2 linked regions of the Oryctolagus cuniculus genome follow. Each later gene encodes a partner of the first gene's protein in a complex. Links are inferred from orthologs where the notes say so. Each region holds a gene or a part of one and is shown in the gene's direction. Other genes may lie near its edges. The genes, in order: DLD and DBT.

What was found.
Region 2: the proteins of DLD (region 1) and DBT are in contact, whole or in part, in a crystal structure (PDB 3RNM), measured with the Homo sapiens proteins. The link is inferred for Oryctolagus cuniculus from reciprocal best matches to the Homo sapiens genes DLD and DBT. Residues at the interface, in NP_000099.2 of Homo sapiens: Ser446, Thr447, Asp448, Arg449, Glu472, Tyr473, Gly474, Ser476, Glu478, Asp479, Arg482; in NP_001909.4 of Homo sapiens: Thr174, Pro175, Ala176, Lys196, Arg199, Leu201, Lys202, Glu203, Leu206.

Annotation. Positions count from the first base shown.
Region 1 is NC_091434.1:136,264,405-136,270,727, reverse strand, and holds part of DLD (dihydrolipoyl dehydrogenase, mitochondrial), read left to right. Parts: intron 1-609; coding exon 610-710; intron 711-3,425; coding exon 3,426-3,569; intron 3,570-4,697; coding exon 4,698-4,799; intron 4,800-6,323. UniProt on the Homo sapiens protein: Lipoamide dehydrogenase is a component of the glycine cleavage system as well as an E3 component of three alpha-ketoacid dehydrogenase complexes (pyruvate-, alpha-ketoglutarate-, and branched-chain amino acid-dehydrogenase complex).
Region 2 is NC_091438.1:70,077,099-70,083,421, forward strand, and holds part of DBT (lipoamide acyltransferase component of branched-chain alpha-keto acid dehydrogenase complex, mitochondrial), read left to right. Parts: intron 1-2,467; coding exon 2,468-2,591; intron 2,592-6,323. UniProt on the Homo sapiens protein: The branched-chain alpha-keto dehydrogenase complex catalyzes the overall conversion of alpha-keto acids to acyl-CoA and CO(2).

The DNA of each region.
Region 1 (6,323 bases):
GAAATCCTTAAGGGTCTGTATTTCCTTGGCTCTGAGGTGTGCCGGGGTTGTGGGAGCTGATTTCTGAGAGTTGAGTTTCATCACTTGATCGGGGCCAAAAGTCTGAGAAATAATTAGAGTTGAGCTTCTTTATCTTATGCTTCCAAGTTCTCTTCTGAGTTAAGTGAACGATTAAAATCTAAATGATAAACCTCATTCTTTAAGTGTCTGTATTTGACATGTTCAAATGTGTATCTTTAATTTCATGAAATTATTATTTCCTTTTTAAAATTCTAAATGGTGTTTTACTTTTCGATTTCTTCTTAAATGTCCTCCAGACTTAGAACAGTCCTAAGATGTTCAAAGTGGGATGTAATATTTTATTTTGGACTGTGCTTTTACCCAGGGTCTACATTTTACAGTGTATAAAGATTCCATTATTAAGATATGATGTTGATGAGATTTTATCAGCTATGATTATCATACCAGCTATTAAGTTAAAATGTTAATGCCTTTTATAAAGCCTTGTAAACAGTAGGCTGAAGCTTTGTAGACTTGGTTTAGTAAAAAAAAAAATACCGCAATTCAAGAATTTAGATAATGATTACACATTTACTTAACAACTTACAGTGTCTGAAGTTCGCTTGAATTTAGAGAAGATGATGGAGCAGAAGAGTACTGCAGTAAAAGCTTTAACAGGTGGAATTGCCCATTTATTCAAACAGAATAAGGTTGGTGTTGAATATTCAGATTTCTGTCTAATTTGTACGTATTTGAAACATTCTCATTTGTTTACTGCTGATAGAGTGTTCTAGTTTGCACTTGACTACTGGGGTTGGCGGTGTGGCTTAGCAAGTAAAGCTGCCAGCTTCCCATACAGGTGCTCACTGGCTGCTTCACTGTCGATCCATCTCCCTGTTAATGGCCTGGGAAAAGCAATAGTAGATGGCTCAAGTGTTTGGGCCCCTGCCAACCATGTGGGAGACCGCAAGAAACTCCAGGCTTCTGCTGCCCACTTTGGGAGTGAATGAATAGATGGAAGACCTCTCTGTCTCTCTCTGTCTCTCTCTGTCTCTCTCTCTCTCTCTCTCTCTCTCTGTAAGTTTATCAAATAAATATATAACTCTTAAAAAAAAAAAAAAAAAAACAGAAAAAAAACTGATGTGATGCTTAACCTGACACAGTAACAGGTCTTAATATAAAGAGAACAGATTTCAGGTATTTCATAGGTACAATTTTAAGATAACTGTACTTCCCTTCCTCCTTTTCTGCCTCCCTGAATCCCCCTCATTCTTTGCTTCCTTTTTTTTTCTTTAATTTTTGCAAAAACATGTTTTTGATCCACTCTATAATCACAGACTTAATGCACCACTAACCGTAATATTCAGCACATAGATTAAAAAGACCACAGGAGTATAAACAAGGGTGAAAAATGACAATCAGATCACAAGATTTCTGTTTCATGCCTATAAATTTTTTTGTATGCTCTTAACCTCCACATATCAGAGACTATAAATCATATTTGTCTCTTGGGGAATGACTAATTTCACTAAGCATAATGGTTTCCAGTTGCATCCATTTTGCTGTGAAAGACAGGATTTCATTGTTTTTATGGCTGAGCAGTATTCCATAGTGTATATATTTTTTCTTCATATACTCATCAGTGTTGATGTACATCTGGGCTGATTGTATATCTCAGCTTTTGTGAATTGAGTTGCAGTTAACATGGGATACAAATAGCTCATATGGTGATTAATGTCATTTGGGCAAATTCTCAGGAGTGGGATTGCTGGGTCATATGGTAGATCTGTTTTTAGAGTTCTGAGTCATCTCCATTGCTGTCTTTCATAATGGTTGTTCAAGTTTATATTCCCACCAACAGTGTATTAGGGTACCTTTTCCTCTACATTCTTACCAGCATTTATTATTTTTTGATTTTTGAGTGATAGCCATTCTAACAGGGGTGAGGTGAAACCTCATTGTGGTTTTTATTTGCATTTCCCTGATGGCTAGTGATCCTGAGCATTTTGTCATGTGTCTGTTGGGCATTTGGATTTCATTCTTTGAAAAATGCCTGTTTGTGTCCTTTGTCCATTTCTTAACTGGATTGTTTGTTTTGTTGTTCAGGAGTTTCTGGAGCTCCCTATGTATTCTGGATATTCATTCTTTATCAGGTGTATAGTTTGTAAATATTTTCTCACATTCTGTCAGTTGCCTCTTCACTTTGTTGATTCCTCTGCTGTGCAGAAGCTTCTTTGCTTGATGTGATATCATTTGTCTGTTTTTGTTTGTATTGTCTGTGCTTCTGGGTCTCTTCCGAGAAGTCTTTCCCTATGCCAATGTCTTGCACAGTTTCCCCAAGGTTTTCCTCTAGTGATTTAACAGTATCTAGTCATAAATTTAGATCCTTGATTCACTGTGTGTTGAGTTTTGTATAAGATGTAAGGAATAGGGGTCTTGTTTCATACTTCAACACTCATAGATCAGATTTTCCCATCATCATTTGTTGAAGAGACTGTCCTTACTCCAGGTACTGATTTTAGCTCATTTGTCAAAGATTAGTTGATTGTAGCTGTGTGGGTTTCTATTCTGTTCCAGTGTCTATTGTGCCAGTACCAGAGTGTTTTGATTGTAACTGCCCTGTAATATATCTTGAAATCTTGTATTGTGATACTTCCGACTTTGTGTTTGTTGTTTAAGATTGCTTTACCTGTTCAGGGTCTCTAGCATTCTTTTCTGTAGATTTGCGAAGAATGTCATTGGTAATTTGATTGGGATTGCATTGAATTTATAAATTGCTTTGGGTAGTGTGGACATTTTGATGCTATTCTTCCAATCCAGAAACAAGGAAGATTTTTCCATTTGTATATGTTGTCTTCTGTTTCTTTAATGTTTTGTCATTTTCATTATAGAGATCTTTCACATGCTTGGTTAAATTTATTCCAAGGTATTTGAATTCTTTGAATGCTGTTGTGAATGGTACTGATCTTACAAGTTCTTTCTCAGCCATGGCATTGTTTATGTACACAAAAGCTATTGATTTTTGTGTGTTGATTTTATATCCTGCAACTTTACCAAGCTCTCTTAAGAGTTCCGGTAGTCAATCAGTGGAGTCTTGGTTCCCCTCTGTATAGGATCATGTTAGTTGCAAACAGGAATAATTTGACTTCCTCCTTACCGTTTGATTACTTTTTCTTTTCTAATGGCTCTAGCTAAACTATATTGAATAGTAATGGTGAAAGTAGACATCCTTGTCAGATTCTAGGTCCCAGTGGAAATGCTTATAACTTTTCTCCATTCAATATGAAGCAGACTTTGGGTTTGTCATATTTTGCCAAAGGCAGCATTTTGTATTAGATAAATTATTTACAGAGGGCTTTTAATCTTACTAATCATATTTATCAAAAATTTATTTTAACCTTTGTGAATTTTATTCTTTTATGAAGGTTGTTCATGTCAATGGATATGGAAAGATTACTGGCAAAAATCAGGTCACTGCTACAAAAGCTGATGGCAGCACGCAGGTCATCGACACAAAGAATATTCTTGTAGCTACGGGATCAGAAGTTACTCCTTTTCCTGGAATCACGGTACTTACACTTTACCAGTAATAGCCGTTACAATGTTCTTCTGGATGTGTGTTTTATAAATTTAGCTTATGCTGTTTGTGAATTTTAAATGATAGATCTCTGGGGCCAGCTCTGTTGCTGGAGTCTCAAGTCTGAGGCTGGCCCCTGACCAGCAGGGGCCAGTACAGACACTCCCCAACAAGGCAAACGGGAAGGGTAAGGTCGACGGCTGGTGATGAACACACCACACCACCTGTGAGTTCTGTCGAAGCAGGAACCGCTTTATTGAGGAAGTGTACAGGCTTATAAAGCTTACGAAGGACATGCGCAGTAGGGGAGCCAATCAGAGAAAAGGTCACACAGGCACGGGTGGACCCTGCACAGGGGCACCTTAAGTAAAGTATAGGGATCACGCACTGTCCACATGTCCGGAACTAAAGCAGACCTATCCCTGCCAGTGGTCTGATCTTACGTAGCTTAACTGCAGCAGCCGCAGACACGCCCCTCGAACATTCACCATGCGCCATATTGTAATGGAGGTTTTAGGCAATGCCTAGCACTCTGTGGCATAGTAAGCTAAGCTTCCCTGAGACACCTGCATCCCATATGGGCACTGGGTTTGTGTCCCGGCTGCTCCTCTTCTGATCCAGCTCTCTGTTAATGGCCTGGGAAAGCAGAAGAAGATGGCCCAAAGCCTTGGGCCCCTGCACCCATGTGTAGTATCGAGAGGAAACTCCCAGCTCCTGCCTTCTGATCGGCTCAGCTCTGGCTGTTGCAGCCATCTGGGGAGTGAACAGCAGATGGAAGATCTTTCACTTTGTCTCTCCCTCTCTCTGTTTGTAACTCTGCTTCTCAAATAAATAAATAAAATCTTTTTAAAAAATAGACTTCTGAGTGAAATACTACATCTTGACAGTCACTGAGCTGAAATCAGTATGAAAAAATTAAGAGTTACAATTTTGTTTTGAAATTCCAAATGATAAAATTCAGCATTTTTAAGTGGGATTTGATGAAATTGAGCTGGCAAGTATAGAAACCTCAAAATCAACAGTGAAGCAGTTTCAGTGATTTTACAGTGACATCATAGTTTATAAATCACTAGGTTTTTTCCAAATAACTTTAATCATTTTTCTTGTGTTTTTATTATAGATTGATGAAGATACAATAGTATCATCTACAGGTGCTTTATCTTTAAAAAAAGTTCCAGAAAAGATGGTTGTTATTGGTGCAGGAGTAATAGGAGTAGAATTGGTAAGTGATCCCTTCTTGGTTTAACATTATAAACCATTGATGTTGAGTTTTGTTTAAAAATAATGAAGAATTCACATTTTTTTTTTCAGGATAACCTATGTACTAAATGTGTGTAACCATTAACCATTAGAACAATCTCCTTTTGTTTTTTTGTTTTTTTCCAATCTGCTTCCCCATACCTTCCACCCACCTGTTCCCTAAAACTAGTCTCGTTCTTTCTGAATCTCCCACAGCCCTTCAGGTATTGAAGGCAGCTCTCATTCTGAGCCAACTGTATTCCAGGTAAAGATCAGACTCCTTACTATGACATATGTGATCTGGTCATTCCTGCTTTTCCATCCTCATGTTGGTCCCTCTTAATTTATGTTTTTGCAATGTCAAACTACTTGCAGTTCTTTGCACCCCATGCTATTTGATACCTTCTGCCTGCTCTGTCCACCTGGCAACTTTCCACATATCTCCAGTGTCCTTTCCCCTCCATTTTAGGTGGCCGTCCCCAGGGCTGTTGTGTCTGGTAATCATCAGGAATTGCTCTACTTCTGAAATCATAAAACTCAGGCATTTTGTTCTCTAACCACAACTTGCTGTCCTCTTACTCAGTTGTTTCTGGTGTAGTTTTATACTCAACTTTGCTAGGTTTTCTCTCCATAGGTCCACCTATGGTTTTTTTTCTAACTCAGTCCTTTCCTTCCATGACTGCTTTCCTGGCCAGTTTTGATTGCCCAGTTGTCATTTCAGCCACTCTGTGTCAGTCTTGAGTCACTTGCCTCACAGTTTGGTCGTATCTCCATGGCAGAGCTCTTGTCCTTGTTGAACGCGTCTCTTTTTTTTTATGCTGTTCCCAGTCTGCTGACTGCATCTGGAAGATACATGCCCTGCAGACAGGTGCCTGTGCAGTTGTTGGTCACAGGCCTGCGCAGGAACCTCACCAGCGTTGCCGACAATCTGTTATTTGCGTAGCTGGCACTCTGTCCTGGCCTCTGCAGTGCTATTTCATTTCCCACTCTTGGCAGACCCGCAGGTACACCATCTTTCCCTGCCCACAGGTTACCGTGTCTCTTCAAGATGGCGTGAGAGAGGAAGCGAGGACCCCTTCAGCCTGATGCTCCATATTCGACCATGCTTTTGCCTGACCTCACAGCTGTTCTTTTGCTCTTCCCTCCTGTTACTATGGAAATGCTTTTTCTCATTGAGATTAGTCCCTTCACCCGGGCTTGGAAGTGCATCATCTTCTGCCTTCTCGTGGACTTGATTTTTCAGTGTTCAGACTTGTTTCTCCTTGTGCTTCTCTTTCACTTACAGTTGAGTGTGGCTGTGTGTGCACTCACATGTTACACACAGGTATGCAGGTACAGATGCAGACTTATGTACATATAAAAAGCCTTCTCATGACCCCGTGTCCTTATTCAGTTACTAATTCCCTGTCACCTTCTCTTTATCACCAAGCTTCTTTCAAGAGTTGTCCATGCTCTGTTTCATCAACTCTTACTCCTTGGTCCATGGCTGCTTGTGCCAATAAATTGC
Region 2 (6,323 bases), on another chromosome or scaffold:
ATCTATGTACTTCAGAACTTTCACTTACTGTCCTGAAATTTCATGACAAAGGAAGCAAAAGTTGATTTTCTCCTTTGATTATGGTGTTGACCCAGAACTTGAGTTGTGGGAGTTGAAGGAGAAAGGAAGGACAGACAGAGTGGGGGTATTTGGAATAAAAGTCTTTCACTGTCTCCTAAGTTTTAAGCTATCAACTGTAATTTTTGTTAGGCTTGATGTTTCCTGAATGTTAATGAGAAAAAAATATAGGTATCCTAAAGATTATTTGATTTAGAATGATCTTTTTAAAGTAAAGCTAAAATGCATGATTTAAAAGTATTTATGTTTTAGGAAAAGTATCTTCAGTTTATTTTGCCTTCAGAAATCAGTGATATGAGGTAGACATTTGGTGCAGTAGTTAAGGTGCCACTAGGGGTGCATGCAACCCATTTTGGAATGCCTGGCTTGAGTCTTAGCTACTCCGCTTCTGATCCAGCTTCTTGCTAATGTGTACCCTAGGGGGCAACAAATGATGGCTTAAATACTTGGGTCCCTGCCACCCACATGGGAGACCCAGATTGAACTCCAGGCTCCTGGCTTCAGCCTGGCTCAGCCCTGGCTGTTGCAGGCATTTGAGAGTGAACTAGCAGATGGAAGAGCTTGCTTGTTAACTCTCTGTCTCTCTGTCACTCTTTACCTCTCTCACTCTCCACCCTTCTCTTTCTATGTGTGTCTCTTCCTTTCAAATAAAAACTGAAAGATAAGTAATTTTAAAAATTTATTTAAAAGGGCCGGCGCCGTGGCTCAATAGGCTAATCCTCTGCCTTGCGGCACCGGCACACGGGGTTCTAGTCCCGGTCGGGGCGCCGGATTCTGTCCCGGTTGCCCCTCTTCCAGTCCAGCTCTCTGCTATGGCCTGGGAGTGCAGTGGAGGATGGCCCAAGTGCTTGGGCCCTGTACCCGCACTGGAGACCAGGAGAAGCACCTGGTTCCTGCCATCGGATCAACACGGTGCGCCAGCCGCAGCAGCCATTGGGGGGTGAACCAATGGAAAAAGGAAGACCTTTCTCTCTGTCTCTCTCTCTCTCTATCTACTCTGCCTGTCAAAAAAAAAAAAAATAAATAATTTATTTAAAAGCTACAAGCCTTTTTTTTAAAGTATAACAATTTAGAAATTCAGTGAGAAATCAGTTGTTTAAATGTATTGTTCCTATACATTAACCAAATTTTTTGTTTTATATTATTTACCATCATAAAAATTCATATTTATGAATATGTATTAAATGTAACTAGAATATATAATGTATATTATAATGTAGTATAACTTTAGAATTTAAGGACTAATTGCCACTAATGTACTGATAAACTTATTTGTGTGTTTGGGTAATTCTTGTTTTTGTTTTTTTTTTAAAGATTTATTTATTTATTTGAAAGAGTTACAGAAGAGAGAGGGAGAGACAGAGCAAAGTCTTCCGTCTGCTGGTTCACTCCTCAAGTGGCTGCAATGGCCAGTATTGAGCCAGGCCAAGCCAGGAGCTTCATCAGTCTCCCTTGTGGGTGGTGGGTGGCCATCTTCTGCTGTTTTCCCAAGCCGTTAGCAGGGAGCTGGATCAGAAGTGCAGCAGCCAGGACATGAACTGGCACCCATGTGGGATGCTGGCGTTGCAGGCAGCAGCTTTACCCTACGTCTCAACACCAGCCCCTGATACCCTTTTTGGTAAAGTAAAAGTGACTGTCTCCTGAATAAATGAAAGAATTTCAAATACATACCAGAAGGTTAGGAATTTCTATAGTTTTTGTTAAAAGTATGATTTAGCTAATCAGGTATTAATATTAGCAACAGTGAATTTTAACTTTCAAGATATGATACTGTAGTTTTTAAGTAGTTAGATTTTAATATAGACTTGAATACATTCAGGACCACTCATTTCTATAGCATTACATTATGCTAAAGTATCATATAAAATAGTTAAATCTAAAGAGTCTACTATAAAGTATGATACAAAAAATCTGAGTAGAAATTATACATGTTTTCTAGTATCTTCACTTGCTAACAGTTACTTCAGAGTTTTTTAGTTGTATTTCAGGAAGTCTAATTGCTTAAGATATGGGCTGGTGTGTTTGTTTATACAGAACATATTGTTAAAAACACTTTCATAAGGAATTTTGGTCAAGGATCACAAACATATGAACAAATTTGACTCTGAAGTTACAGTATTACAAACAAAAGAATAACAAAATGTTCTGTGTAGGCTAGGGTTTGAATTTCTTTGACTTCTTAGAAATATAGATACCATACTTCAGAAACTGTCATATACTTCATAAATTGTCATTGCTACGAAGTATTCTGGTTTTGGCTTAGGTAATTTCATATTTATATTGTGTTAGCAATTGTCTTACTAAATAATGGAATTGAAATTCAATACATACTTAAATAATCCATAAGTTCATTTATAAATACTTTTACATTTTGTTTTCTCACCTGTAGATTTGTGTTCGCTCTTTTCAAACACGTGGTATTGTTCATGTTTTGAAGCCAAAATGTGTGTATTTCTTCGGTTATCCTTCATTCAACTACAGTCATCCACATCACTTGCTGAAAACGACCGCTGGTAAGTATGATCTCAAGATAACATATATAAAGTAATGTGTTATATCTTATTCAGTACTTAGTAATCAAAGATTCATCAAAGTAAAAAATGCTGGCCCTGAACCCCACGTACTTCTGCCCTGACTCTCTCCATGTCTATCCATTACCCATTTTCTTTTTTCTTGCCTCCACTCCTACACTCCCAGCCCCTAACTTCTCCTTCCCCTGTCACCTTTCACATACTTTTCTTAATACTTGTGTCTTCATAATGTTAGAATTGGGTTGTGTTGGGCCATCTATTCTTTATCATCTGACTCATCTAAATGCAATAGTTAGCATTGATATGACCTTCTCAGTCAACATAAATCATAGACTTAATAGAAGTGTCTTTGTGTCATTGTACACACCATGGTATTGTTTGGTGAATGAAGCACTTAATCTGTGATTTTAACATGGTCTGATGAAACCAGTCTTAAACACTCCTGAACAGAAAGTTTCCTGCTATTATGCTTTACTTACCTTTTGCCCAACTTTTTCTACTCTCTATAAAGAACTTGAAGATTGATTTGGCAAGGGCATAAGAACATTTTTTTCTGATGTTCTGTTTAAAACCCTGATAAAGGACCCTAGACTTCTGTTATATGGCTAAGCTTTGGACAGATAATAGGGCCTTACTCTGTGCTCACAGGGAAAAATAGGGAATTCCGTGCAGATATCACCCTTGAGTTCAATTTCTCCATGCTTTTTTTTTTTTTTTAAGATTTATTTATTTTTTTGAAAGTCAGAGTTACACAGAGAGAGAAGAAGAGGCAGAGAGAAAGAGAGGTCTTCCATCTGCTGGTTCACCTCCAAATTGGCTGCAACAGCCAGAGCTGTGCCAATCTGAAGCCAGGAGCCAGGAGCTTCTTCCAGGTCTCCCACATGGGTTCAGAGGCCCAAGGACTTGGGCCATCTTGTACTGCTTTCCCAGGCCATAGCAGAGAGCTGGATCAGAAGTGGAGCAGCCAGGTCTTAAATCGGTGCCCATATGGGATGCCGGCACTGCAGGTGGTGGCTTTATCTGCTTTGCCACAGTGCCAGCCCCTCCATGCTTTTTTTTTTTTTTTTTTAAGATTTATTTACTTATTGAAAGGCAGAATTACAGAGAGAGAGAGAGACAGAGACAGAGACAGAGAGACAGGTCTTCCATCCGCTGGTTCACTCCCCAAATGGCTGCAATAACTGGAATTGGGCCATTCTGAAGCCAGGAGCCAGGTGCTTCTTCCTGGGTCTCCCACATGGGTGCAGGGGCCCAAGCACTTGGGCCATCTTCAACTGCTTTCCCAGGCCACAGCAGAGAACTGAATAACTGGATTAGAAGTGGAACAGCTGGGTCTCGAGCTGGTGCCCACATAGGCTGCCAACACTGCAGGTGGCAGCTTTACCTGCTATGCCGCAGAGCTGGCCCCTCCATGTTTTTTATCTGCCTTCCTTTACCTCAGCCTAAGGCATGTAAACCTTATTTTCACTTTTTTTAAAAAATATCTGTATTTTTTAAAAGTTAATTTTGTTGTTGTTGTTGTTGGGCTAGAAGCTATTCAAACAGAAACTCCAGCTTCCTTCTACAGCCTCTGATCATTTATCATGACCTTTGAGTTCCTGGATCCACTAATTCCAGGCTACTTGGGTTCCTGGTTTGCCAGTTTCTAGCTGTGTAACTGAGCAAGTTATTTAAGTTTTCTCAGTTTCATCATTTTCAAAATGGAAGCATTCATAATATTTAGCTCATTGTATAATAAGAATTTATTCATTCAACAACAGATACTTATTGATCGCCTGCTATGTGCCAAGGCAGTAGTTGAGGTAGCTGGGATATATCAATAATCAAAACAAAGATCCTTATACCTGGGTGGATTAAATAAATTAAAATATGTGAAGTATTTAGTACATACTTCCTCTAGACACTCATATTCTCTCTCTCTCTCTCTCGTTGTCCTGGCTCCAGTGCTCAACACTGATCACTGTTTTGATTTCTTTTTTTTAAAGATTCCTGTTTTTTTAAGATTGATTTATTTATTTGAAAGGCACAGTTACAGAGAGAGCAAAAATCTTCAATCTATTGGTTCACTCTCCAGATGGCTACAACAGCCAACTATAGTCCAGGCCACAGCCAGGAGCCTGGAACACCATTCAGGTCTCCCACATGGGTAGCAAGAGCCCAACCAAGCACTTAAGTGTTCTGCTGCTGCTTTCCTAGGTGCCTTAGCAAGGAGCTAGATTGGAAGTAGAGCAGCTGAAACTCAAATTGGCATTGCAGGCAACAGCTTGACCCATTGCATCAATGCCAGCCTTGATCATTCTTCATCTTGTGTGTTTTTCCCTCTTTTTTAAAAAAAGATTTATTTATTTGAAAGAGCAACAGAGAGGGAGGAGAGACAGAGAAGAGGGATCTTATATCGTCTGGTTCACTTCCCAAATGATCTCAACAGCCAATCTCGGCCAGGCTGAAACCAGGAGCCAAGAAATCCATCCTAGTCTCCCACATACTTGACAGGGGCCCAAGTACTTGGGCCATCTTTTGCCACCTTCCCAGGCAGGTTAGCAGTAAGCTGGATAAAAAAAAGAGTAGCTGGGGCTTGAACTAGCAGTCTGATGTGGGATGCCAGTGTTGCAAGTGGTGGCCCAACATGTTGCACAACCCAGGCCCCTGTTTCTCTCCTAAATTTCAGTCTTTTGTAGGATCCTATCCTTGGCCCTCCCATCTTCTTGTGTCACTTTTACAGATATACCTTCACCTACTACATATTGAACGTTCTGAATCTGTAGCTCTCAGACCTCACCAATTGTTGCTATGTATCTCCATTTCAATATCGCATGTATAACTCAAACTCCTCAAACTCAGTTTTATACAAATTTCCTCTTCTTCCTGTATTGCTTAAATCAATGAGTCAAGCTGGAAACCTGTAGTCAGCGTGACTCCTCTCTCACATCATATTGTTTACCAAAACCTGATCAATTTTACATTTCATACAAGGGATCTTCTAGAAGTTCACGGAAATTGTGCATTATCAAAAATCATGCATCAGTTTCAAAAATTGTGGCACCAAAACAGCCTTATCTGTTCAGTCCATTTTCCACAAACTTTATGAACTACCTTCTTATGTTTCTTAAATTTGTCTTATCCTTTTCAGTAAGCTTTGAAAAATATCTAAAAATAAGCTCCAAACCACATCTGAATGTACTTTATGTAAGGATATACTCCGTACTTTGGTTGCTTACCTTCAGTAGACCCTTGCTTCCCCTGCCTCATTTTGCTTCTGCCATTCCCTTCCCAACCTTATCCACCATGCACAGATTTTTTTTTTCCTGAAATGATAGGCTTAAAGTCACAGATCTGATATTGTAGATGGGACTCTGTGTTGTTGTTGTTGTTTTCCCATGATTGATTTACTTATTTGAAAGGCAGAATTAGAGGAAGAGTCAGGGAGAGGGAGAGATATCTTATATCTGCTGGTTTACTCTCCCAAATGATCACAACAGCCAGGGCTGGGTCAGGCCAAAACCAGGAGCCTGGAACTCCCTCCAGTTTCTTACATAGGTGGTAAAGGTCCAAGCACTTGGGCTATCTTGCACTGCTTTCCCAGGCTCATTAGCAGGTACTTGGATTGGAAGCCAGAGCACCTGGGACTCACACTAGTGCTCATATGGGATAATGGCGTTAAAGGTAGCAGTGCCACATGTCTGACTCTTGTATCAGTTATTGCTGAATTATATT